2 linked regions of the Drosophila melanogaster genome follow. The protein of the gene in region 2 purifies or fractionates together with the protein of the main gene of each other region. This does not show direct contact. Each region holds a gene or a part of one and is shown on either strand. Other genes may lie near its edges.

Region 1 (12,644 bases), on a different chromosome or scaffold from region 2:
CAGCATGATGCCCATGGCACCTCTGTAATAGGCCGTGGTGATTGTGCGAAAACGCTCCTGGCCGGCAGTGTCCCTGGAAAATGAATGGAGATATAGGTAATTAGAGAATACAGATGAATCGCCTAGTACTTACCATATCTGCAGCTTAATCTTCTTGTTATCTAATTCAATTGTTCTAATTTTAAAATCGATACCTGAAAAGAGAAAACAGATGAGCATATACACACATGTACGTTTGCTAATTAATTTAAATAATTTGGCAAGAGGCTAAACCTGTTTGGTCGGAACCCATGACATCGCAGCTAAAATAAGAGACGAAGAGAACCGAAATCCACAAACCACGCAATTAATTTAAACAATGTCGTTAAGTAAATGCCCCAAAATTGGAAGTGTCGCGATGAAAACGTGCCAAAAACGAAAATAAACAATTATTAGCCACGAGCAGAAATGGGAATCGCTCTACTTTTGTGTTTACAAGTACGGGAAAGTACAGTGTGCATGTCGAATATTATTGTGATTATTATTTTAATAAGCTTAAAATTACTAGCATAATCTGATTTAACTGCCACTTGAAGTTGTACTGATTATGATTCGAATTTATTAAAAAGTATTTGCTGTGTTTGGTAGAAAGGCTTCACTGTACTCGTACGGGAACAACTACTTGAATTCCCTCTGAGACTGGGCATGGGCCTGCTGGGTATATAATAGGGCATTCCCGATTTGGCGTGCGACGGTCAAGTCTCGCATCGGAACAATCCGGCTTCTGGGGCGATAAGAGCAGCGAAAGTACAAAGACTATGGGTACTCGGACTGAGTACTCATTTCTGATCGCTTTCCTATGCGGGTGTGAATCTCAGGGCGAGATAAGGCATCCGGATATATTCCTTACGGGAAAATCTTAATAAGCGCGAGAAATCAAACATGGTGGGAGTGCCCCTCCCATGGAAACAACAATATTTATGACAAATGCGCCCGGATGGGGCAGGAAATAAAAAAGAAAAGAGGCATTTAATGAGTCACTGGGCCAGAAGCTCGGATTTCCAATTGCGAATGAGTTCATGCGAACGAAGGTGTTATAATTAATAACCAAAAAAAAAAAAAAATTAAGAATCGGAAGACACGGTAAACGCGGATGATGACACTCACCTATTGTGGATATAAACGTTGTGTTGAAGGCGTCCTCAGAGAATCGGAAGAGGATGCAGGTCTTGCCCACTCCGGAGTCACCGATCAGGAGCAGTTTGAACAGATAGTCGTAGGTTTTGGCCATTTTGTGTGCTTTTGCGGTAGGATCACAGTATCTGGCCCGATAATAGTGCTTAGCTGGGGGTTAGGGTACGGGTTAAGGGTGATGATGCTCTGTACACGTCGTCGTCTCCTTAATCAACTGACTGACTTCCTCTCCGATTCTTGGCTAATAACACTAATCACGATTATGCCCCATGCGTGCCGTTTAGCGTATGTATGTACATATACACTATACCCAGACGTAACCGCACTAATCCACAATCTAATTGAATCGACTCGAATCGAAAACGTATAGTTTTTTCCTTCTCTCCGCAGCGCAGCTCTTTTTCTCTTGGGTGTGTGTGTTGTGTTTTCGATTTCGGAGCCGTGTCAAAAATGGCGACGTAGATTTAAGACCTTTTTGTTGTCTGTGCCCGAGTTTCGGATTTCGTGCGGCGGCTTTTCCGGTGGGCAAATGCAAAGGCGCTCGCTACGCGGTGCGAGTCTACGTTGGTTTGTTGTGAAAATTACGTGGAAATGAAGTTAATTACTGCTTTCTAATTACGCCCGTACAAAAAATATGAGTTTCGATAATTCGTTGCTGCGCAACACTGGCGCGCCGTCGTCTATCGATAGCTTATCGTACGATGGGGAAAACAGCTGTTTCCAGTTAGTGTTGGAAAGTGCGCGAATATAGAAAGAAACAGAGGAAAATAGCACAAGACAAGAGTCAAAAAGACAGGTGTATATTATATATTCATACACATATATCGTCGTGATCCTGCACCTGATCCTCGCCAGCAGCCTATTGTTCCGCCCGCGACTGTGAAGTGAAGTTGAACAAATGTGAAAAGTGGCGTCGCCAGACGCAGCAGCAGGCGGAGCCCCAGAATCCATTGAGTTGCACCCCCGCAAACAAGAAATTCTGGACCATGGGCACCAAGGAGTCCAAGCACTCCAATAGCGTCAGCTACGAGGATTCGGTGAAACGCGGTGAGTCTCCTCCGGCTGGTTACTTGTGGGGCCGTCTCCCAGCCGCAGAAAATAGGTCACTGCCAATCAAGAAAACAGAACCCCCTGCGAAAGCAACAACAACGTACAAGCAGGTGCAATCGATTCCATTGTGTTGTTGCGCCCACGTCTTCTGACCAACGGGAATCACCACTGACTTCCGCCACCACCATCCTCATGCTCCTCTTAATCCTATCTCTTGCAATTATCTACTGCCATTCCAGTGTGGCTTCTTTATTGCATGTGTTTTCATGTGCATGGGTATTTGCGTCTCCGCCGCCAATGACGTCACAATAGAAAAGCTAACCGAATGGGGTGGCAGTTGGAGGTGTGCGCTGTGTGGGTGAGAGACAACAAAGCAGCGAAGGCACATGAGAAACAGTTAGACAGCCAGTGGAGTGCAGTTCACGCTTAGGGTGACTGGAATGCGCGGATGCGGATGTCGCTGCGAATACGATTCATTTCAAGTTCAGCATGTCATTCCAGTGTTCATTTCAATTCGCACTCTATGGGCAAAGGTCTTCTGTTGAAGTATTTTATAAAGAAGCCTACTTTAAAATTTTTTTGTTTATAATGAAATGAAATTATAATGAAAGGGGAGCATTTTGGATTTCGATTTTCCAATTGGAATATCCATAAGAAAAATGTTTTAAAATAAATAATTCATTGGGCTTTTAATTCTGCATGTCATTTCCTTATTTCTTAAAATTCCTCTTTAAGTGGAATATGTTCAGATAGGAAAAGGAATTACTGTGTTTAAAACAAGCTGATAAGCCAAAAAAATAGAAATTTATTTACAAAGTATGAAAATCGGAATGTTCACTCTTCTCCAAATATTTTATAATAATGAACCAGCAATAAAATTGGTAATCATTCAGAAGAGTTAAGATTATTTAAGCCAACTTGTATACCCATTTTCGGCCCACTTTCAATGACGTTTAGCTTCCCTTAGTGCTTTTCACTTACTTTATTCCGCCTTCCCTTTGCGCTGGCAATCATCTAAATGCTGGTGTTGTTATGGTTATGGTTGCTGATTTGTGGCCAGGCGGCCCAGCCAGAGTTAAGAAAACGAGTGTCGCTGATAAGGCTCACTCCCCCGGAACACCAGCACTCCGGACCACCCCTCCACCACCCACCATCACTGGTGTGGGGCGTGCGACCGGGTGCGTGTGTTTCTTATTAGCCACTCCAACCGGTTCCAGTAAAACCAAGGGGGAAGTGAGGACTAGCATGCAAGTATGTGCGCGGTGGTCAATAATCGCAGACTCGAGTTGCAGTTAACATTCAATAAAATGCCGTTTCCGTGACGTCGCATAATTCGCCTGCAATATTGCCCAATCAACTTGGGAATGTATTTTCACGCCCGGTTTGGCGGTTATCAGTTGGCTCTGGGTTCTCAACCTGATCGTTGAAATTAAAATGGTTTATTTATTGTCAATTTAATTGCGCTTCTTGTGGCCTTTTATTTCCGACATTAAATAATCAACGTTATGAATTATAACGTTATGAACGGGGCATGAATGAAAATGGTTAAATAGGGAACATGTAGTACATTTAAGATGAAGTAACATGAATTAGCATACTATTGAGAATGCGCAACGATATTAACAAGAACATTTTGTTTCGTTTCTTATCATTTTCTGACTTAAGTGCTAAACGATTTTAAACTGTCGTATGTTATGCTGCTTTGATTCCACGGGAAATGATTCACAATTATTAAACAAATAAAATTAACTTTGTGTGGCGGACTTCGGGATACCCTCTTCATTTTTTAACTTATATATAATTTATCGTTTTAGGGCAAGAAATATTAGTTAAATTTTTTTTATTTGTTGATCATATGAAAACAGTCCTAAAATATAATTAATATAATTAATAATTATCGTTAAAGAACATAATATTCATGTTACCTTCTATTGGTTTGTGGGTAACCTTTTTGCACTTCAGGTAATTAGTGAAAAATCAATTACTGATAATGGTTAATTAGGTAACAACGAATCTAATACCATATGTAATGGAATTGGTAAATGAGCTCGGAAATAATGTTTATTGATATTATTATAATGTATATTATTAAACAATTAGAGCGAATGTATTTGAATTGGGTTTCCATACTGGAACATGTGTTCCCAATAATCAGTTTGTTATTGACAGCACGTCGGTTAGTGTGAAATCGAGGTCGTAAATCGCATCAAATGAGGGGGTTACCCGGCATACCGGCTATTAATTAAAGGCACATGGGATAATCCCTAACGCAGCATTACTCATTCACCGATTTTTTATTCCAGTAAGCGACGTAGAGCTTCGCCGCCTGAGAGATGCCTTCAAAAAGTCAGCGGGCGTGGGCAGGAACTTCCTCAGTCGGAATGCCTTTCAGCAGGATGTGCTGTGCGAGGGAGTGCCGCCAAAGATCGTGGACATGTTATATGCCGCCTGTGGTGGCACCCAGCGTGGCATCTCCTTTAACGACCTGCTCTGCGGTCTGGTCTTGATAACTCGTGGTACCCAAGCGGAGAAAACCAAGTGAGTGTGCCATAATGTGCAAGGCTGAATTGATTTTAGGTAACCCAACTACTTACTTTCGTTTTAGATTCCTGTGGAACCTGTACTGCAACGATGCCGGCACCTTCATCATCAAGTCGGACTATGTGCGCAACGTCAATCTGGCTCCCTTCGAGAGCGTCTCCCTATTCGCTCAAAGCGAACGCGTCAATTTCGAGCAGTTCCAGGACTGGATCATAAAGCATCGCAATGCCACTGTCCTCTCCAAATGGCTTCTGTCCGACAACTGTGTTAGCCTCACATCGGAGCTGGAGACGCCAACGTTTTACCAGAGCCTCGCTGGAGTGACGCATCTTGAGGAGAAGGTGAGCATCTGCAGCTGAGGCTGATAGAGCTTTGTAAACATATGCGAGCGAATCATTTCGTGGAAAATGCAATTTATAAATAATTTTCGCTTGGTTCCTCAACTGTTTTGTTATCCGCCACTCAATTTACCTCAATCGCCTCTCATTTGCGTTCTTACGTTTGACTAGTTCATACTGAAACCCCGTTCAATTCTTTTGCAGGACATTGGCGATTTGGAAAAGGAGTTTTGGCGTTTGAAAAACACTTCCCAAAATGGCCAAATCGACTTGCAGTTCCTGGGACCCCTGATCAGTCCACCCATACCAAAGAATGCTCTAGCAGGTCTATTCAACGCCTTTGATGAGAACCGCGACGGACACATCGACTTTAAGGAGCTGTGTTGCGGAGTAAGTGCCGCCTGCCGAGGACCGGGTGTGGAAAGGACACGATGTAAGTACTAAATACTTTTATCATTCCGCTATGATCAATTGAGTAACAAACGCCTACCCACAGTTTGCTTCAAAATCTTCGATGTGGATCGAGATGGCGTTCTTAGCCACGATGAAACACTGCAGATGATCAATGTTCTGCTATTAGTAGCCAAGGAAAATCAGGAGTCCCAGCAATACAAGGATCTGACCAAACAGCTGGTGATAAGTGATCTTCTGGAGTTTGGACAGAGAAGAAGTCCGGATGGAACGCCTAGTAAGCTAACCCGAGACAATGTCTCGCTGACCGCTGAGGATTTTATGCTGTGGACCGTACAGTGTGATCTAAGACTCATGCAGCCCTTGCTGGACCTCATCTTCGAGCTGTGCCACATCGTCTTTGGCCTGTGGCCCCAGTGCAAGCACATGGAGAACGATATCGTCCGGGGATGGTTGCGACGGGAGGAGCGCAGGCCGTACCGCGTTGGACAGTTTTGGTACTTGATCACGCATGACTGGTGGCTCAGTTGGATGCAATACACTCAGCACACGACGCACACCTGCGACTATTGCAAGCGAACCGCCAGCCAGCGGACCGCTGTTGATGAGGCGCTCGTCTGCGATGAGAGCTTTAACACCCACAGCTTGGAACAGCACGATAGCTACTCCCTGGGTTCTGGCACGGGATCGGCTTCCGGTTCCGGGTCGGCGAGTAGTGGCATCTCAGCTGGACGACATTGCGGACCCGTGCGACCAGGGCCTATTGACAACAGCAATCTGATCACCGCCAATCCGTTCCGGAATGTTCGAACTCTCACCGGCGAGGGTGGTCACCTCAAGCGGGACACACCCCTGGTGCAGAACCACGACTTTGAACTGGTGCCCAAGTCACTGTGGAAGGCATTGAATCGATGGTATGGCGATAATCTTCCACTGCCACGACAGGTAAGCAAAGAAAACTATTTAATAATCAGAAACGTTTACTTATGAACTTAATTTGTATTCCTCCAGGTCATCCAACCGCCCAACTCCGATGTGGAACTGGAGCTATACCCGCTGAACCTGCGAATCCTGCTCCACCAGGCGCAGCCATCCCAGACAGGCGTAGGCGGAGGCACTCAACTTGGTAGTTGGGGCTCCACGGTGAGCGGTGGCTACGGAGTGCTTGCCTCCGGTGGCGGATATGCCGCCATCGCTGTAAGCAGTGTACTCCAACCGCCGAAGCGATACTTGGCCTACACGGCTGCCTTCAGCCGACTGGCCACGGTGCGTCAGGTGGGCGAGTTTTTGTGCGAGCAACTGCGTCTTAAGTCAGAAGATATCCGGCTATGGCACGTTCCACAGCTGGACAACGGTGCCATATTGCTAGAAGAGGATGCCATGTGCCTGAAAGAGTTGCTCATTCGGGACAACGACCAGCTGTTGCTGGAAATCCGCAACAAAGATTTGACCTGGCCGGAGGAACTTGGCTCCTTGGCCACCGCTCAATGTGGCCAGGGTGCGGGAACACCGGGGGACCGGCGTCGCTTAACACGCAGTTCAATTATGTCGGTACATGCGCCCGGAGCTACAGGCCTGCACAACCTGGGCAACACCTGCTTCATGAACGCCGCTCTCCAGGTGCTGTTTAATACCCAACCACTGGCACAATACTTTCAGCGTGAGATGCATCGCTTCGAGGTGAACGCGGCCAACAAACTGGGCACAAAGGGTCAGCTAGCCATGCGCTATGCGGAGCTGCTCAAGGAGGTTTGGACGGCCACGACTAGATCTGTGGCCCCGCTGAAGCTACGCTTTTGTGTCAACAAGTATGCGCCGCAGTTCGCCGGTGGAGGTCAGCACGATTCCCAGGAGCTGCTCGAGTGGCTGTTGGACGCTCTGCATGAGGACCTTAACCGTGTGATGGAGAAACCGTACAGCGAGCTGAAGGACTCGAATGGGCGCCCAGACAAAATAGTGGCCGCCGAGGCCTGGTCCCAGCACCACGCCCGAAACCAGTCAATTATCATTGATCTGTTCTACGGCCAGTTGAAATCCAAGGTCAGCTGTCTGGGTTGTGGACACGAATCGGTGCGATTCGATCCGTTTAGTCTGCTCAGTTTGCCGCTTCCGGTAGAGAATTATATCTACTTTGAGGTCTTGGGTGAGTAAATCGTAGTTGAACCCAATACTTCTATGTTTATTATTGTACTTATTAATACTTTTCTTTTTTGTAGTTATTCTGTTGGATGGAAGCGTTCCAATCAAATATGGTTTTCGTCTGAACTCCGATTGCAAGTACTCGCACCTGAAACACAAGTTGTCCACCATGTGCTCCCTGCCTCCAAATCTAATGCTCGTCTGCGAGCTATGGAACTCACAAATACGCCAGGTGCTAAACGACGACGAGAAACTGCGGACGCAGAGTGCCAAGGAGCTGTACGTCTATCAGCTGCCGGAACAAAGTATGCGAACACGATCCAACTCAGGGCTTAGCATGCACATCGAGCAGGGTCTTAAGGACATACAGCGCAGTTCCGGTAAGCCACCCAATGATATAGCAGATGAATGTGTTTCTACACTTTTGAACTTTCAGCTCTCATCACGAGCGCCCAGGACTCGCTGTCCTCGCTGAGCACTTTGCAGACGTCCAGCCACCGCGCCTCGTCACGAGTCCTGTGCAACGGACACGTTTCGGGCCTGGATGTCGAAGGCGAGGCGGAGGTGGGCACGGATGTGTCGCAATGTAACAGCAACAGCAATTACAATCCTATTGTAAGCACTTACAGCGGAAACGGAAGCGGGGACAACCAGGTGCACGAACTGCTGCCAGATGAGGCCGGAAAGGTAAGCCGGTGCTTTGGAAAGAGAGAGTGCATGCCCCACAGCCTATTTTGCTTCAAGGTATGGCTTCTAAACTATATTAACATATACGTATTTAATATCATAGATTTACGCCCCATCTATTTGGGGCCATATCGAATTCTAAAATTCAGAGCTTCAGAACTTTCCTTGCCTAGGATAGCGAGCTTGCTCCTCAGCGGCGAAACTGCTGCTACTCTCGTATGATATATCGTCGGGTCGTCTTTGATTGCGAATGCGAGATCCGCCAAGAATCCGCCTCCGTCTGCTTCTCGATTGTCACTTTACAAGCGTTTAATCTAAATATATTAAATACACTATGTTAAATGAACAGTTGCCGTTTGCTGCGTGGTTTGTGGGCTTCCCTCTTATTTACTCAAATGTACTAGCATACTCTGTATATTCTCCCTACTTTCGTATTCGCACACTTTTACCAAATTGATATCAATTATTTGTAATATATACATCCTTCCTTCTACTAATCACTTACTTTGTTGCTGGCCTTATTCTATAACTAATGTAAATTATTTGCTTAAACCCAATCAAACACTGCGTATCACCTCTCGGCTATCCTTGGAAATCTCTTTGTTGTTGCTGGTTTTCAAGTTGGAAGCTTGTGAAATATTATTTTTCTAGTAGTTTTTGGTCACTCTCATAGCTTTGCGATGCCATATATCCATATATTGTGTTCGTTTTTAGAAAGTTTTGAGTATCCGAAAAGAAATACATTGTCTTAGCTTGTTTGTTAGATGTATTTTAATGTATTTTTGGATAAAAAGATCTATCTTTATGTATTCAAATTATAAAATTTCTTCGAAGATTTTAAAATTTTCGTCAATTTAATCTTAAAACTATTTTCAATTCCCATATCTTAAATGTCTTTGATGTAATTTTCCGTTATATTTAAAATTTGAGTAAAAAAAAAACAGGTTATCTTTCGAGACTTGTATGAAACCTAAAACAATTTAATTAAATAGCTACTGTTTTACACTCCACCGCCCTCACTAAACAACTAAAAAGAACCAACAAGTTAATTAAAACACGTGCCATAAACAATTTATACATTTTAAAGTTGTTTTAGAGTTTTAGCGTTTACCCTATAGCTATTTTGTAAATTTGAAAGTAGATTGTTCCATGGTTAATATAGCTCCCAAAGCTTCAATTCACGACTACACCCACCTAGTCCCTTTAATAACTAACCCCGTATCAGCACAACTTAAGTCTAATACCAACTCTCGGTGCAGGAGTCGCTAATTCTGAGCTCCAGCCCGGAGAACACATTTATGCACGGCGCTGCCGCCCAACAGAAGCGCGTATCGTCCGCCAAGCTGCTGCACACGGAGAGTAATACCAGCTCCATGTCCTACACGAATCATTCCGGCGAAAATTCCATGGAGAGCTCGCTGACCGAACCCATTCCATTGGCGGACCTGGAGCCGGTTAGCAGCCGTAATGGCAGTGGCGGCGAGGACTGCTCCTACCGGACGTCGCCAAACGATTCCAGTGGCCTCAGCACGGGCCACACCCTGGGCGCCAGTTTGGACGTGGACGAGCAGGCGGAAGAGGGCAACGCGGAGGATCACGATCAGCCGGATCAGATCACAACCTCGCAGCCGGAGACCAGTAGCGGGGTCTACTCTCGTCGCTCCTCCCAGCCGCCGCACAAGGCGGGCAAGTATTTGGTAGCCGTACATCGAAAGATAACGCGGCATGACAGCTACTTCCTGTCCTACCACAAGACGAGACCAAGTCTCTTTGGCGTTCCGCTGCTCATTCCAAACAGCGAGGGTGGCACCCACAAGGATCTTTACTGCGCCGTGTGGCTGCAGGTGAGCAGGCTACTCAGCCCATTGCCTGCCACCACGGAACAGGCGAATCATGCCGCCGATTGGTGAGTATTTCCACTTGCTTGCTGCTTTTGTTTACTGATCTTGTGTATATACGCAGTGATGACAGCCTGGGCTACGATTTCCCCTTCACGTTGCGTGCCGTCAAGGCAGATGGTCTAACCTGCGCTATTTGCCCTTGGTCAAGCTTCTGTCGCGGATGCGAGATTCGATGCAACAATGATTATGTACTCCAGGGAGCCCTGCCGCCCATCAATGCCGCCGCCAGTGCGTAGAGACCTTAAAATCCGCTTGCCGTTGCTAGAAATAAACATTCTACTTTCACTTTCAGGTAATACATCAACGCCAAAAATGAATGCTAAATTCCCATCGCTACCAAATCTGGAGGCTAAACGGACGCCGGAATATACCGCCTCCTTGTCGTACACACCGACAACCAAATACTTTGAAGACTTCACCATTGCCATCGACTGGGATCCGACCGCCCTGCACTTGCGCTACCAAAGCACCTTGGAGCGTGTATGTAGACTCGGCATTATTTTGTCCACGGGATACTTATATTTGTAATTGTTTAGCTGTGGGTGGATCACGAGACCATTGCCATAAGTCGGCGGGAGCAAGTGGAGCCCGTAGACCTGAATCATTGCCTGCGCGCCTTCACCTCGGAGGAGAAACTGGAGCAGTGGTATCACTGCAGTCATTGCAAGGGCAAAAAACCCGCCACCAAGAAGCTCCAGATCTGGAAGCTACCTCCGATATTGGTAAGCCAGGCCTAATGGCCAATTGCCTAGTGAAATTTTATTGATAATTTCTATTCCTCAGATTGTTCACTTGAAGCGGTTTAACTGCGTCAACGGCAAATGGGTGAAGTCACAGAAAGTGGTCCACTTTCCTTTCGATGACTTCGATCCTACTCCGTATCTGGCCTCAGTCCCTCAGGAGACGATACTGCGGCACAAGGAGCTGCTGGAGCTAAAGAATGATGCAGAAATGACGATGGCAACTAACGAAGTTGTTAGCGAATTGGACGAGATTGATGCACCCAGTAAGGAGGTTAAGGAAGAACTACCCAATCAAACGGGGTCCACAAAGGCTACGGCGTCGCCACCGCCCACAGGGAATATTCTGCGCCAGAGCAAGACCAAAAATGCTGTCCGGCGACAACGCCTCATCTCTACGAGTCTCACAAAAACGCCTATCGTTGATGGCGAGTTCGAAGACTATCACCAACACCGACTTAAACCAGATGTGGATCAGTTCGATCCCAGATACCGACTCTATGCTGTTGTGGTGGGTGTAGCCTATGCCTTTAATCCTCCTGATTGTGTGATAACCTTATATCTTGTTTTGTAGTCTCACTCGGGCATGCTGAACGGAGGTCACTACATTTCCTATGCTTCGAATGCAACTGGTTCCTGGTACTGCTATAACGACAGCTCCTGCCGCGAAATATCCCAGAAGCCGGTCATCGATCCAAGTGCTGCATATCTGCTGTTCTACGAACGCAAGGGCCTGGACTACGAGCCTTACCTACCGAACATCGAGGGACGGACGCTGCCCAATACCGCCAGTGTGCCACTCGAGGTGGACGAGACCGAGGGAGAGCTGAAGAAGCTGTGCTCAATTTCCTAACTGATGTCGTGGACATCGCGGCTATGAAGATATATTTTTCCATTTTATGCGTTCTGTTCTAGAGGGTTTGTGTTTTGTTTCGAACCGCTTATATTTTGTTATTTACTATTCTAAGCCTATTTTGATTTTCTGCAATAGTTGATTAATTATCCCCTAATTAGTTTTAGGACGAATTATTTTTCTTTGCCGAGAATTGTGTAATGCATGTAATATACAATATTCATATTTAGCTTGTAGATGATATGTTATATTGGTTGGCCAATGTGGAGCTTAGGTTGTTACGCCGAACAAATCCATTCTCAATAGTTTCTTGTTGCTTTGTTTTTGTTGTATATAATTTAAACATTTTAATTGTATTAGGCCAGCTTGGCCAGTTTATTATTATTTATGCCAGACCATGTCGTGGAATTCCATTTAATTTGTAATTATTAATGTAAATAACAAGCGGAAGTGAAACACGAACGGCTAAACGTTATGGACAGTTTGATATTATCCATTGATTGATCAGCAATATCAAGATGTTACGAATTTCATCCAAAAACTCGCAGACTATTGTTGCTCTACTCATACGTATTTACATGTATTGATTGGCTTGTGTGACGCGCCGAGCAGATTCGGTTCGAAATTAGTATTGCGCTTATCAATTATGACTTCAATATGTCTAATGATTATGTATTTGATATTTACAAATTATATATATACACCCACAGATATATATATATATATATATATATATATATATACATGCGGAACTTAACTAATTTATATTAACATACATGAACATGATGATATATTCGAAACGAAAAGCTAT
Region 2 (12,644 bases):
CCAAAACAGCTGCTCTGGCTAACCAAGCTAACTGCTTGTGGTTGCTTTGAGCGGCGTGGAGGGGTGTTTCGGCACTAATACGGATAAAAATAGGTTATGGCTACGTTATAGGTGAGGGAAAAAGGGGACAAACTAAATAACGAAATTATTTAAAAAATTTTCAGGAATCCATGATAAAGATGGTGTCGCATTCATCAGTATGTTTCAAAAAGTTAGAATGAATATACATCTAATCAAAAGAAATATATAACCAAATCAATGCTTGGCATATTTTCGCTTATATTATCTTTTCAAATTATTTAGTTGCATCAACCAATATGTAGATCTAGCAATCATATCCGCTGCAACATAATGTTCCCTTTGCACTCCAATCAAACATCTCATTAGAAACTAAACCAACCGTCCGTTGCAAGAAAAACCTTTCGCCCTGGGCCTTATTACACTCCGTCTGCCAACACCAACGCCAGAACATGATTCCTTGCCATCTGCTCTCCGCAGACTGCTTAGCCACTTTAGCCATAAAAATATAACACCTGCTTATCTCGAATGCCACCCGGGCGGCAAAGAACCCAGAACCCCACAAAACCCCCCGAAGAGAAAAGCCACAAGCCTGAAGGCAACCGAAAACATTTCTCAAAACGAGGCTAAACGGGAAGGCAGTGTACTGATTTGGGGTTGGTGTGGAGCACTGGCCGTGGCGATGGTGAAGAAATGGTGCGGGCACTGACCTAACCCCCCCGTAAAATGCTTGAGCCAACAAATACCGTAAAAACACTTATACGGAATTCCTCAACGCCTGGTAAACCAGGGCTGGGGCGTAAAATCCACCCCATGAAGCAGACCAGGCAGCTCAGACCAGACCCCCAATCCGAAATTCAGAGAACAAAAAAAGAGTGCCACAAGCTAACAGAACGAAAGCCAGAACAAAGTTTCGAAAAGTCGCTGCCAAGTGCCGACGGCAAATGGAGACGTAACCCAAACTCCGGCAAATCTTGGGAAACATTTAACGGATTTTCTGAGGGGGCGTTAGTCGTTTTACATGCATTATCCTGGCCAGAAACCAAAAGCGCTACAAAAAAAAGTGTTGACATTAAAATAATAATTTTAATTGCCTCAAATAACACAAAGGTCGGCGGTGACCCTCGGACAAGGATGCAGCACAACCGAGCTCTGGGAATGTGTGAGCGGGGTCTGTTCAAACACAAAGGGTAATTAACATTTTTCTTTTCGTCCGGGTCCTGGCCGAAGGATAAGCAGCTTGTTTAGCCCGGCCAAAGTCAAATGAGCAAAAAAATACAAATGGCAACGGAGCACAAAAAGGACCCGGCACACACATTACGTGGGTTCGTATGGGAGTTCCTTTTTTGCGGTTTCGCATTTGGTTTAACTTAGCTGGTAAGTACACCCCCAGGTTCTTGGGTGGCCCCCCGGAATCTGGAATCTGGATTTACGTTTCTGGATGCGGGATTCAGGATTCAGTCGACCGCCTTTCAACACCTTCAACAAAGCGTGAATTAAGTGCTCGAGATTTTCTACACTTAATACAACAAATTTACAGCGGCTCCGTGCAACATGTGGCATGCCCCTTCCCTCGTCACCCTGCCTCGCCGCACTCCTCACTCCGTCGAGCTAATTGCGCAATTATCTCGTTTTGTGGAACATCTGTGCAACTGTGTCGCGTCTCATTAAGTGCGATCTGACTGCTCAAATGCCCAGAGGGCCGTGCGGACGGACAGTTGGAAAGAAATTTTTTAATTGCATTTAATTAACAATAAGTTAACGAAAAACACTGAAACGAAACATTAAATTAGCTGAAACTTAGACCGAAATTCCTGATCTGCAAAGAGGAATGAGTGGTTGACTGTGCCATGCTTGGTGATAAATCTATCTGAAACTACAATAGGGCTCAATTTTAATATTATCCATAGGTTGGGATAAAAAAAAAAACAATGAACAAGATGTTAATGTATCTTAGGATATTCAAAGGAAATCAAAAGAAACTAACTCCAATTGATAAGCAAGAAAACGCTAGAATTGGAATAATATTATTTTTCTAGCCCTTAGAATCAATTATGCTTCGACTCGAAACTCGAATTTGTCTATCGGCATAATTACCCAAACACGACAGAGTCGCATTACAGCTATCGTTTATCTGGCATCTTTGACAATCCATCCATCAAGCATGATTGAATCCGCAGAACAACCCCGAATTTCCGAGTTTAGTTCCTCGGCATTCCATTTCCATACTGCGATACACGCAATGGCAATGCGGTAAAGTAGTGTTTTTAATGGCTAATTGAGCAAAATAGCTTATGGAATAGAATTAATTATAGTGTTTCATGTTTTCGGACTACGAAAATTCGGCCTGTTTCACTTAGCTCCTCATTGTTCACGCAAAAGCATAAATTGTTTAATTGCTAATTAAGAATAGGAAACGGGCAACAAACGATAAATGTAATGAATTAGAAGGCGAATCGAAGGCAGTTGACATTACTTCAGTTCTAGCGTGTGACAATTCGCATTAATTACAAGAAATGCTCCAAAAAATAAGCCATTAAGCGGGGCCATTCGACTATATAGACGATTTCTGTTGGTGACGGGAGGGGATTTGAGGGACTCCGAAATGGCGAAATGAAAGTGCGGAGATCCCCCGACTTGCCGCATTTGGCGTGTTTTAGGCTGCTGGCGCAGTTGCTGCTTGGACACTTGTGACATTTTCTTAATTGAAATGATGCGCGTTCGTTGATAAAATTTCGTTGCCTCCATATACGAGGGTCTATACGAGAAATGTGCTCATATAAGTACGGAGCCACTTGGACACTCTCCTGCACGTTTTGCTGATGATTATTATTACTCTTCATTATTGTTCATTATTAAATGAGCGGCGTGTGTGCGTGTCTTTCGCTTTTGTGTAGGCTCTGTGGCATGCGCGGCATGCAACATCTTATTTTGGTGGGTCGGCGAAAAGTGAGCCAATCCTCGCCAGATCGTCTCCAAATGGAATCGCTCAGAGAAGCGATGTTAAGCGAAATAATTGGGGATAGTGTAAGCACGCGGCACTCGGGAATGCGATCTTTGTCCCACATATTTAGTGCAAACAATGATAATAATCAAAAGCAATGATAATAATAATAATAACAATAGTATTTATGAAACTGAAGAAGATCTACTAGTATCTAAATGAAAATTCTAATGTACTTAAATCGATAGCATAACATACAAAATACTTTCATAAATAGTCATGCGTTATATACTGTAAAATCCCAAATAAGAAGACTTTACTCGTTGAGTTTTTGTAAGAAACTGATTTTATTTGGAAATATCTTCGGTTTAAATAGGTGACATGAGAATCGCATCTTAAAGTAAATGGCCTACGCAGAGGCCTAAGTAAATAGTCCCCGCCTTATCGAGGTCCCACGCTCGGGCACATCTGCCTATCTTGAGCGGCGAGGACCTTATCTGTGGTCTCCCACTAAGGGACTATTTTAGGAGGCGGGGAACGATCTCAAGTGACTGACTCATGTAGTGTGCACTTAAATTACATGTTTTTGAGCAATGCACCCATGTCGCCTTAGATAACAAAATCCTAAATATAATTTATCGCTCTCGATTCATTTACATAAGATATGAACGGAGCCCAAAATTGTAAGTCTTTAAATATATTCGTGTTCATGTGTGAACATATACAAATACAAAATCTACAATTATGGTCGGTTGTGCAATGCATTTTCGATTGCAATGGCAGTCGGAGAAACGCACTTCCTGCATTTTTGCCACCCTGCCTGTTTTAGGGCAATAAAATCTCATTTTATGTGTGCGCAAGTTTGCAAATTGGCCACACATCAAAAACAGAAGTGAAATCCTTTCAAGATGCCCGGCCCGCCCCGAACTCGCCTCATTTGGCCAACTTCAATGCCTTTGCGGGGCATAATTATTACTTTAATTATGCTTAATTAAAAGGCCGCCCACCGGAGGCGTGGCCGCGGCAGCTGTCCAAAATGCACGGCACATAATTAAGCGTTTTGCTTTGCGGATTTTCTTTCATTCATTTTTACGATTTGCCTACGTAAAGTGACAACGTGACGCGATGGTTGGATATGTGTATCTTTTCTAGTTTTTGTTTTTTTTTTTTTGTTTGCGGGGTTACGGGGGAAATTGCAATTCTCCGCTGGCTTTTGGTTGTTTTTAATGAGTGTGTGTGGTGTGTGGTGGTCGCCTCCTTGTTGATTTGTCCGCAGTCGGTTTGTTGTTTTCCCGCTTCTGGTGCCGCTGCATTTTTATGCGTTCGTCATCCGTTTGTCATAAAAAAGAAACATCCACTGCAGCAACATTTAATTTTTAATTTAATATCTAATCATTTTCCGTCGTCGTTGATTTTCTTTTTCACAGCTATATGTGCATTAAAAGCTGTCGCGATGCATTTGGCCACTAATGGGTTTTTCTAATTTGCCGAGACTGCCACTTCGAATAGTAAAAATCCTTCAGTCAATTTAATGAGATATTTCACTTTCGCAATCAAAGGAAGCCGAAATCGTAAATATTAAGTAACTAACATTCATCGTAAGTAGAAGATTACAATTTGAAGTGGAATCAAAGGCATTTGTCGGATCGCAGCCTATAAAATGCCGACGGCTTTTTCTGAGCACTTGCATTTAACTCATAGATATCACGATTTCTAAACACTGGTCTTAGCTTTAATACTTGAAGATTTGTTTATAATTAAAGAACCGAAATGTTTATAGAAACCATTTAACTGCAACAGTACTTTACTTTATTATAAAAGTCAGAGTTGGTTGTTGCATAATTCGATAGGGATTTGAAGCTATCAATTTATGTAACATAAGTTACTTAATAAACCAAATTTCAACAAACAATACAGTGCATAATGGAAAAATGTATGATATGAACTTTACAAGATCTTCAAAATCATGCGTGAAGATATCTAATGTAATTTGTGCATTGAAACCTGCGCTCAAGTACGTGGAAACCTTAAAGATAAATACCAGCTCATTGGGCCACAGTATGCACCCGCTGAATGTCATTCCAGAGTTTGGCCAATGCATCTGTGGGGGCCAGTGCAACTGCGAGCCCAGTTAATTCTCGCTAAATAATTGCCAACGATAACGAGGCGTGTGTAATGTGTAGTTGGGAGCAGGGCAATGGCAATAGCTAACTCTGCTTGGCAACGACAATGGAGCAGGCAACAAAGAGGCTAAATTCTGTATTAATTTGCAATTAATGCAGCTAATTATATTTAATTAAATGAGCGGGCCACGCTAACAATGCACTGCATAGATACGTTTTCTACTCGGATGCCGATGAGGGAAGGGCGGTGGGATCTGCGGGATCGCTGGGATCGGTTGAATCGGTGGAAACGGCGGCGGCAGCAGGGATCCAAAGTGGAGCTGAGGGGAGGGGAATCCAAGCAGAGCTTGGACAGTGGGAAAAATGTAGCGCAGGTTGGTGCGGCTTTGAAATGAAACTGATTATTACAATTGTTGTTACGCCCGCTGGCGCTGTTGTTAGTGCGAATTGTGCGCCGCTGCTGCTGTTTATTGTATCTCATAGATACGTTTAGATTATTTTTTGCAAAAATGACACTGAGCCACCGGCAAGTCAATTGTAATACGTTTTAGTAATTTTTCGTGGGGTGGCAGCAGTCGCAAGGCTCAGCACATTAAACTATTTATGTGTAGAGTTTCATTCTGATTTCGTTTTAGCGATCGTTTGATGAGCCTCATTGTTGCAAATTGCCACTGTCCACTGCCGTCGAGCCGTATTATTAGTTTGTTTGTGGCTATTTATTATATTTGGTTTTATTATTAGAACGTCGCAACTATTTTTGAGACCCTCGCCAAGTTTGCTCATGCACATGCCCCCATGCTCATGCCGGTCCAACGATAATGCTGATGTTGATAAAATTAACGTTAATTAAAGTTATTAACCGCCTGCAGCGAAATCGCATCAATTTATTGGTTTTTGCATACTACCATGTCAGGGTTGAGATTTACATAAAAACTGCATTTGGCTGTTTCGAGCAATATTCGAGTGAGTGGAGTGCGTGAGAGGCTAAAAAGGTTTGATATTTCTAACTTGATAATGATGATGAGCACTTCACTTAAATGTCTTTTTTTATTGCAGCCCCATTATTTAGCTTACCATTTTGGGTTGAGTAGCTGCCATAACGTTCAGCCATGCAGATTTTTTAAGCTTTGTAATAAGCCGGAAATTTTGAGATTTATTTAAATATTTCCGAAATTCATCCGCTAAAATGTCCAACCACTGACACACGTAAAAATTTGGCGTATGGAAATTTTATCAAATCAGAAATATATATAAAAGTTTTAAAATTACTTTTATTATGATATTACAATTAATTTTAGTAAATCAATTATATACATGTGAATATATATATATGTGAAAAAAACTGTTTCAGACTATTGGGAAGACCATTTATAATTACTTTAATACCTCTAAAATTTGGTTCCCATAAAAGATTTTAAACTGATGATAGTCAATTGCATGATATACTTCTTCAAAACATATAATATAAATTCACAAGAGCTTAAATCAAGTACTTTGAGATATTTACCGTTATTTACAGATTCGCAAGCTGTTGCCAAAATCAACGAAAGAGTTTTTATGTTCCACTAGCTTTTCCTGAATCCTGTTTTTCATTCACCTTTTAATGGTCGTTTGGTTTTGATGTGTAATTTCTTAACTCTTATCACAATTGAGCACTGTATTCAAAGTATTCATGAGTACCTATGAGTGTAGCAACGAGTATCTGACAGATGGTTATCACCCACGCACTTCAGATGAGACGATCGCAACGCGCCAAAAATTCGGAACTGAGTAGTTTCGAAACGGATTCAAAAATCGCGGAGCAACGGCTGTACAAAACACATGGGGCTCAAAAGTTGCAGTGGCAGCTGTTAAAGATGAATCGTGGGCACACGCCGAAGTTTATTTGCTTGGGTATTGTATGTTGCACTTTGGTTGTTTGTTTGTTGCACGAGTCGAGGGGCGTCCAAGATATATGTGGCCGTTCAATGCGATTCCGGTTCAGATCAGCCGTCGTACGTTCAGGCGCAGCGTCGTCCGTCGACTGAATGAACGTGTGGCGCACGAGCGGCGCTTTGGACCCCCAGCAATCGCAATCATCAGCATAAGTAGCAACAGCAAAGGAGCAGCAGCAACAACAGCAGCAACAACATCGGCAAACACGAGCAAACAAAACGAAGGCGAGGAACCCGAAGCCGCAGGCCCAGCTCAGCGGGTGCGAGCGAGAAAGCGACCGGGGTCTCTCTCACTCACTGCCTCTCGTTCTCTCTCGCTCTGGCTCTCTCTCTGTCGCTCTCTCGCCCACCCCCTAGCCCAAGCCCCACTGGCGGTGCAGCGACGCCGGCAGAGCGCCGACTGCGCAGGAGCAGCAACGGTATATATGCAATTTGCTTGGCACTGTTAAAATAAAAATAATGACGTCATTAAGCGCACAAATGAGCGGCGCTGCTGCTGCAGTCGACGTCGACAGCGCTGCCGGCGCAGACTGAGCTTATAACTGTTGTTCTGAGAAGGAGAAGTTGCACACTTGACGAAAGGCGAGCACTTAACGACGGCGAGGCAGAGATAGAAAGAGAAGGAGAGCGGTCGCGCGAGGGAGAGGGCGCGAGTGTGGGTGAGCGCTTTTGTGAGCGCATTTTGAGCATTTATTACAGCTAAACATTGCACTTTTTACACCGAACGGTGGGAGCGCATTTAGATTCTACATACATATCTTTGGAGATTTGCAAAATAATATTCAAAATCTTTAAACTGTTTGACATAATTTTAAATCCACTTGTACAAATTAACAATGCTTAATTATAATGGAAAAGTAGGAAGTCACCGCAATTTAAAAATCAATAAAATTTATTTTTATTTTTCATTTTATCGTACCAATTTAGAAACTTAATTATGATTTTCTTAATAAATGCCACAACCTCTCTCAACACACAACAACTTAGAATTTATTTTAAGCTTCAGAGGAAATTGTTGGATAAACCAAACCTGTGATATGCATCACAAGACGACTTGTCAAATGCCCCGAAATTTCACCCCAGCTCGACCCCTCGACAACTATTGCTGGGAATTAATAATTTAGGTCTCGATCCGCAGAGCAGAGCCAATGCCAAAAGCTCCAGTCACTCAGCTCGTCGGTCAAAACCCCACTCGAAGCCCAGAACCCTCTTGCTACCACTCCAGCCCTCCGTCCACCGTCCTCCAACTCCCACCCACCCACAATGTGACGTGTGCCGGGTCTAGTGAACCACACCCCTCCGCCCCTTTTGCAACGGCTCGAACCGCTTCCAGAAAACCGAAAAGTGCCAATAAATATGGAAACGTTTTGCCTTGTTCTGCCCACTCTTCCTCCCACTCTTCCACCCAATTCTCTGCCATCCCTCTCTGCCACGTCTTCTGCTCCTTCTTCGGCACTCTTTCATCTCCACTGGCAAAAACTTTACCAAATTTCAATTCAATTTATAAGAAAGGCGGTTCTCACTTTGGGTAACATAAAAAGAACGTGATAATTAGATCCAAATTACAAAAACATTAATTTCATAAAATTAAATTTTAAATTTTCACATTAGTTAAATTAGTAACTAATATATTTTATTTTTATTTTATTAATTTATAAATTGGATACTACTGATATTATTGATTGCACGTAGGTTACTATACCTTTTATTCTCCATATAATACACTGTAATAATTACGTGTACATATATTTTCTTTTTATCAACACTAACAATCATAAATTTTTTAGGTGTATCCTTGCTCCTTGGCTACCTTTGCACTAATTCACATTTGATGTTTTGTTGTCTGCGCTTGTTGCCGTTGCCGCTTGCATTTTTCTGGTCAATGAGGTTACAGTCAAGTCACTAGACAAGCCCCCGCCGCAGTCCGCCCCCCTTCCCACCCCTCCAGGGGGCAGAAGATGCAGCAGCGACCGACCGGTGCGGTCTACAACCGGTCGAGGCTGTCGGTCAGTCGAGGCTGCCAAACGGGCTGCCCCTGCCGATTCCGTCGCCGTCTGTCCACCAGTCTAGCCACCCACCCGCTTCGACGACTATCGGAGGTGTCGATGACGTCGTAGTCGTAGAGTCGTCGTCTGGCTGAAAGCCCCTTGAAAACCCCCCAAGGCCCCAAAGTCCCGGCCAGCCTCCCCCAAAAGCAGAATCTGACTGCAACTGCCTACGCCATTTGATGATTTTGTTGTTGCCCCTCCTAATGTGATTTGCTAGGGTATGCACTTAGGCCTGTTCGGCTGTTCGGCGATTGCCCAGATTCCGATGCGAATATCATGCTCATGATCAAAAGGGTAGAGTACGAAGATCAACTCGATCCGAACGAGATCAGTCATACATTTAACTGGAGAATACCCTCTTTTTTTTACCAATTTTAAACGTATAGCTATGCTGGTTTCTGATGTAATACTAATGCTTATTACATTACATATAAACTCAATTAGTGGTAGCTATATTCCCGAAGAGTATTCCCAATTCGCACATCTTAAAAATGTTTTGCTGGCTGATTTTGTTTTTAGTAGCCAATTTTGGTCAATATTTAAGTGCCGCTTGATGCTTCCACTTCGACGGGCACTTCACTGTTTTGTTACCCGGTGTCTAGGCCTGGTCCACATCTCCTCATCAACTTAATTTTCAGAATTTTCACTCGGACCCCGCTCGCTTCGACCCTGACTCTCTCTCTCTCTCTCTCACTCCCTCGCCCCGTCTTTGTCTTTCCCGTCTAATTTGGTGCTGCATTTTACCGGCAGCTATAAAGCATATTACCGTTAAATGTTGCACTGTCGACTTGTCGTCTAATTTACTTCACCCGTGAGGGAAATGGGTGGCGAAAAGTGGGCGGTGGGCAGTGGGTGGGGTGGCACTGCGGCCGAGGATGCGGATGCGGATGCAGTGGGGCCACTGCCCACTTTCCATCTTGGCTTGATTGTCATTGCAGCTCGTCGGTCTGGCCGGCAAACTGATTAAATTCAGCACGCGCCCTGCGGGCATCTTGGGAAACTTCTTCCCCAGCAGGACGAGATGCCCCAAAAGGGGTTTAAAGGGGGCCGGGGGGGTCGTATGCACATGAAAAAATTGAATGCTACCTTCTACTCTAAAAAACACTACTGTCCATTATAGTTGACTTCTAAATAACAGGCACGTATAAATGCTTTTAGCAAATTAGAAATTGAATAGCACTCTGATATTATAGGAAAATATACTTTTATACACCTTTATAGATATAATGATATATGATATTAAGGATATATTTGCTGTGTAGAAAAGGAGGTTGCTGCCGGAGCGTGGTGGTAACTCAAAGTCATCAGCTTAGACGGGCCAGAAACTAGACGCTCTACATAAATTTGAAATTAACGTTTTCTAGCACATTGTCCGTCTACCTCTCTCTTTCGCTCGCCTCTCCCCATCCCTTTCTGGTAAGCCCCCCTCTCTCTTTCTCTCTCAGGCGCTTACATGCTTTCTGTAATTATCATTTGCCAGTCCGTTTGCCTTGGAACACACACGCGGACCAGCGTCTTGGCTTGATCTAAACTTGGCTTTCGGGCGTACTCTATTGCCCCTCCCCCTCTTCCGCAGACCGCCCGTAATTAAATGCAAATCTCCCGTCCCCGACTGCGTCAAATATATGGTCGTAGTGCCGAGGGGCAAACTGTGTCCAGATTTTCAGCAACGTTCCGAAACTTGTCAGCACCGCTCGGCGGTGCAAGAAAAATGAAGTGAAATACTCGAACGTGTATAAACCAAACAACATTAAAATTATCGCCTAGACAAGCCATAAAGACTTGGAGCTAAAGGATCGCCCCCGACACCGGATCAGAGATACCCTAAATCCATTCTTTTGCAGAAACAAAAATATTACTATCCCATTTAAATATTCTTTATTAAGCATTAATAACTTCTGGTGATATTTATATATGTATTTATCCTCAGAAATAAGATTAAATAGCATATATAGATAGATTTTGCGGCCAGAGACAGAGATGAAAGATGCAATGACAGAGAGGGGAGAGTAATTAAGAGCGCGCCAACTTTTTAGCTTTGTTGGATGGCTCTCGTTGAAATGGCTGCTAATTACAAAAGGCATCCTGGCCAGCATCATTTGAGATATTTTTCCATTAACCGGCGACGGCGTCGTCATGCCCATGAAGCTATAGGATTGCGGCGGGGACTCGAAGGGGTCGGTGCATACAAAACATATTAAAATTAACCTGATTACTCCGCAGGCGCTGCCAGCGCTCAGATTGTGGGATTGGAGTCGTGTATGTGTGCATGTGTAGCTGGACTTGGAGGAGTTTTGAAAGCCAGGCACAAACTAATTTCAAATAACATAATTCATTCGCTTAGCCAACGGGAATGGGGTGGGGAATGAGGGGTTAGGGGATTGGGGGCCTTGGCATCAAGAAAAAGACGGCAGCAGCTCTTGGTCTTGGCCAAGACACCCCGACCGGTTTCTTCGGGAGCACCAAATAAGTTGAAGTTTAATCACAAGCCACTGAGAGCGGAGAATGTGAAAAATGTACAGGAAAAATACATTAATTTTATTAAACTTTATTTAAAAATCATTTAAAAGGCGATCTTTTATAATTTTATGATTTTATAATTTGATATTCTTCTATGTAATTGTTGAAAGGGTGCAGAATCGTTGGAAATGTGTAACGATTCCACGGAAGTTATATTTAAGACTTTGGCATTTGGCTTCATACAATGTATATTCTAAAATAATTACATTTCAGTATGTTGTTTATGCTAAAGATTTTTATAGTTTTTCTCTGTGAAGGCGGCAATTTACAGGCACCAAACAAAGACTCCAGCTGTCATAACAGAGAGAAGGACGGGACTATCACACAAGAGAAAGAGAGAGAGAGAGTGAGTGAGAGGGAGAGGGAGAAGCGCAGATTGGTGTGCGAATGCGGAAGGTGCTAACTGACAAATGAATGGACTCCGGCTCCAACCGTACGAATGCTAATTGTTATTGTACTTAAACCTGAAGCCTTCCGCCTGCCCCTTCGTCCACCGGTCCCACATCCCTGCTTCCATTATCCCCATTCCCTACAGCATTCCTTGCCAAACATGTCCACAAACTATGCGTCGTCTGCAATAATTTCGCGCGCATAAAAATTTAATATTATTGAATTTTTATTATAGCATTCTACCTTACTTTAACCATTGCTGTTGCTGCCCAGACACAATAATCGAAACAACAGCATCAATACGGCCAACTGTAACAGCAACTGCATTAAAAAGAACCCAAAGGCTACACGGAAGCCTGCCGATGCCACAGTGGGTTGGATCATAGTCTATCATGGGGGTTATATAAGGCCAAGAACTAATCTTTATTTTTTAATTTATTTTAAAATTTAAATATACAGGAAGTATGAATGTGGGATCCATTGGTATTTTTTAAATATCTTTTAGCAATAAACTGTAACTGACTTAGGCAGCATTTTAAAAATTCTTCGGATTTGTTTATATTTTGCATATGAACCTACAAAATTCGATAACATTCCAAAAGTAATTCTATGTTATCAATTTGGCTTCAGAAATCCAAACGCTTCATCCCACTGTGCACAGAGTTGC

Evidence for each region.
Region 1: the proteins of pdm3 (region 2) and Rab8 purify together in Drosophila melanogaster (affinity purification with mass spectrometry, with the first as the bait; one large-scale study listed by BioGRID). This does not show direct contact.

What each region holds. Positions count from the first base shown.
Region 1 is NT_037436.4:19,869,235-19,881,878, forward strand, and holds the start of Rab8 (Rab8), read right to left. Parts: upstream 1,845-12,644; 5' UTR 1,271-1,844; coding exon 1,147-1,270; intron 325-1,146; exon of another isoform or gene 293-324; coding exon of another isoform or gene 274-292; intron 195-273; coding exon 134-194; intron 74-133; coding exon 1-73. Other genes in the region: Usp32 (ubiquitin specific protease 32), read left to right, coding at 2,160-2,220, 4,527-4,761, 4,829-5,105, 5,307-5,535, 5,599-6,458, 6,525-7,656, 7,730-8,032, 8,089-8,396 and 6 more.
Region 2 is NT_033778.4:8,321,956-8,334,599, reverse strand, and holds the start of pdm3 (pou domain motif 3), read right to left. Parts: upstream 7,111-12,644; 5' UTR 6,593-7,110; intron 1-6,592.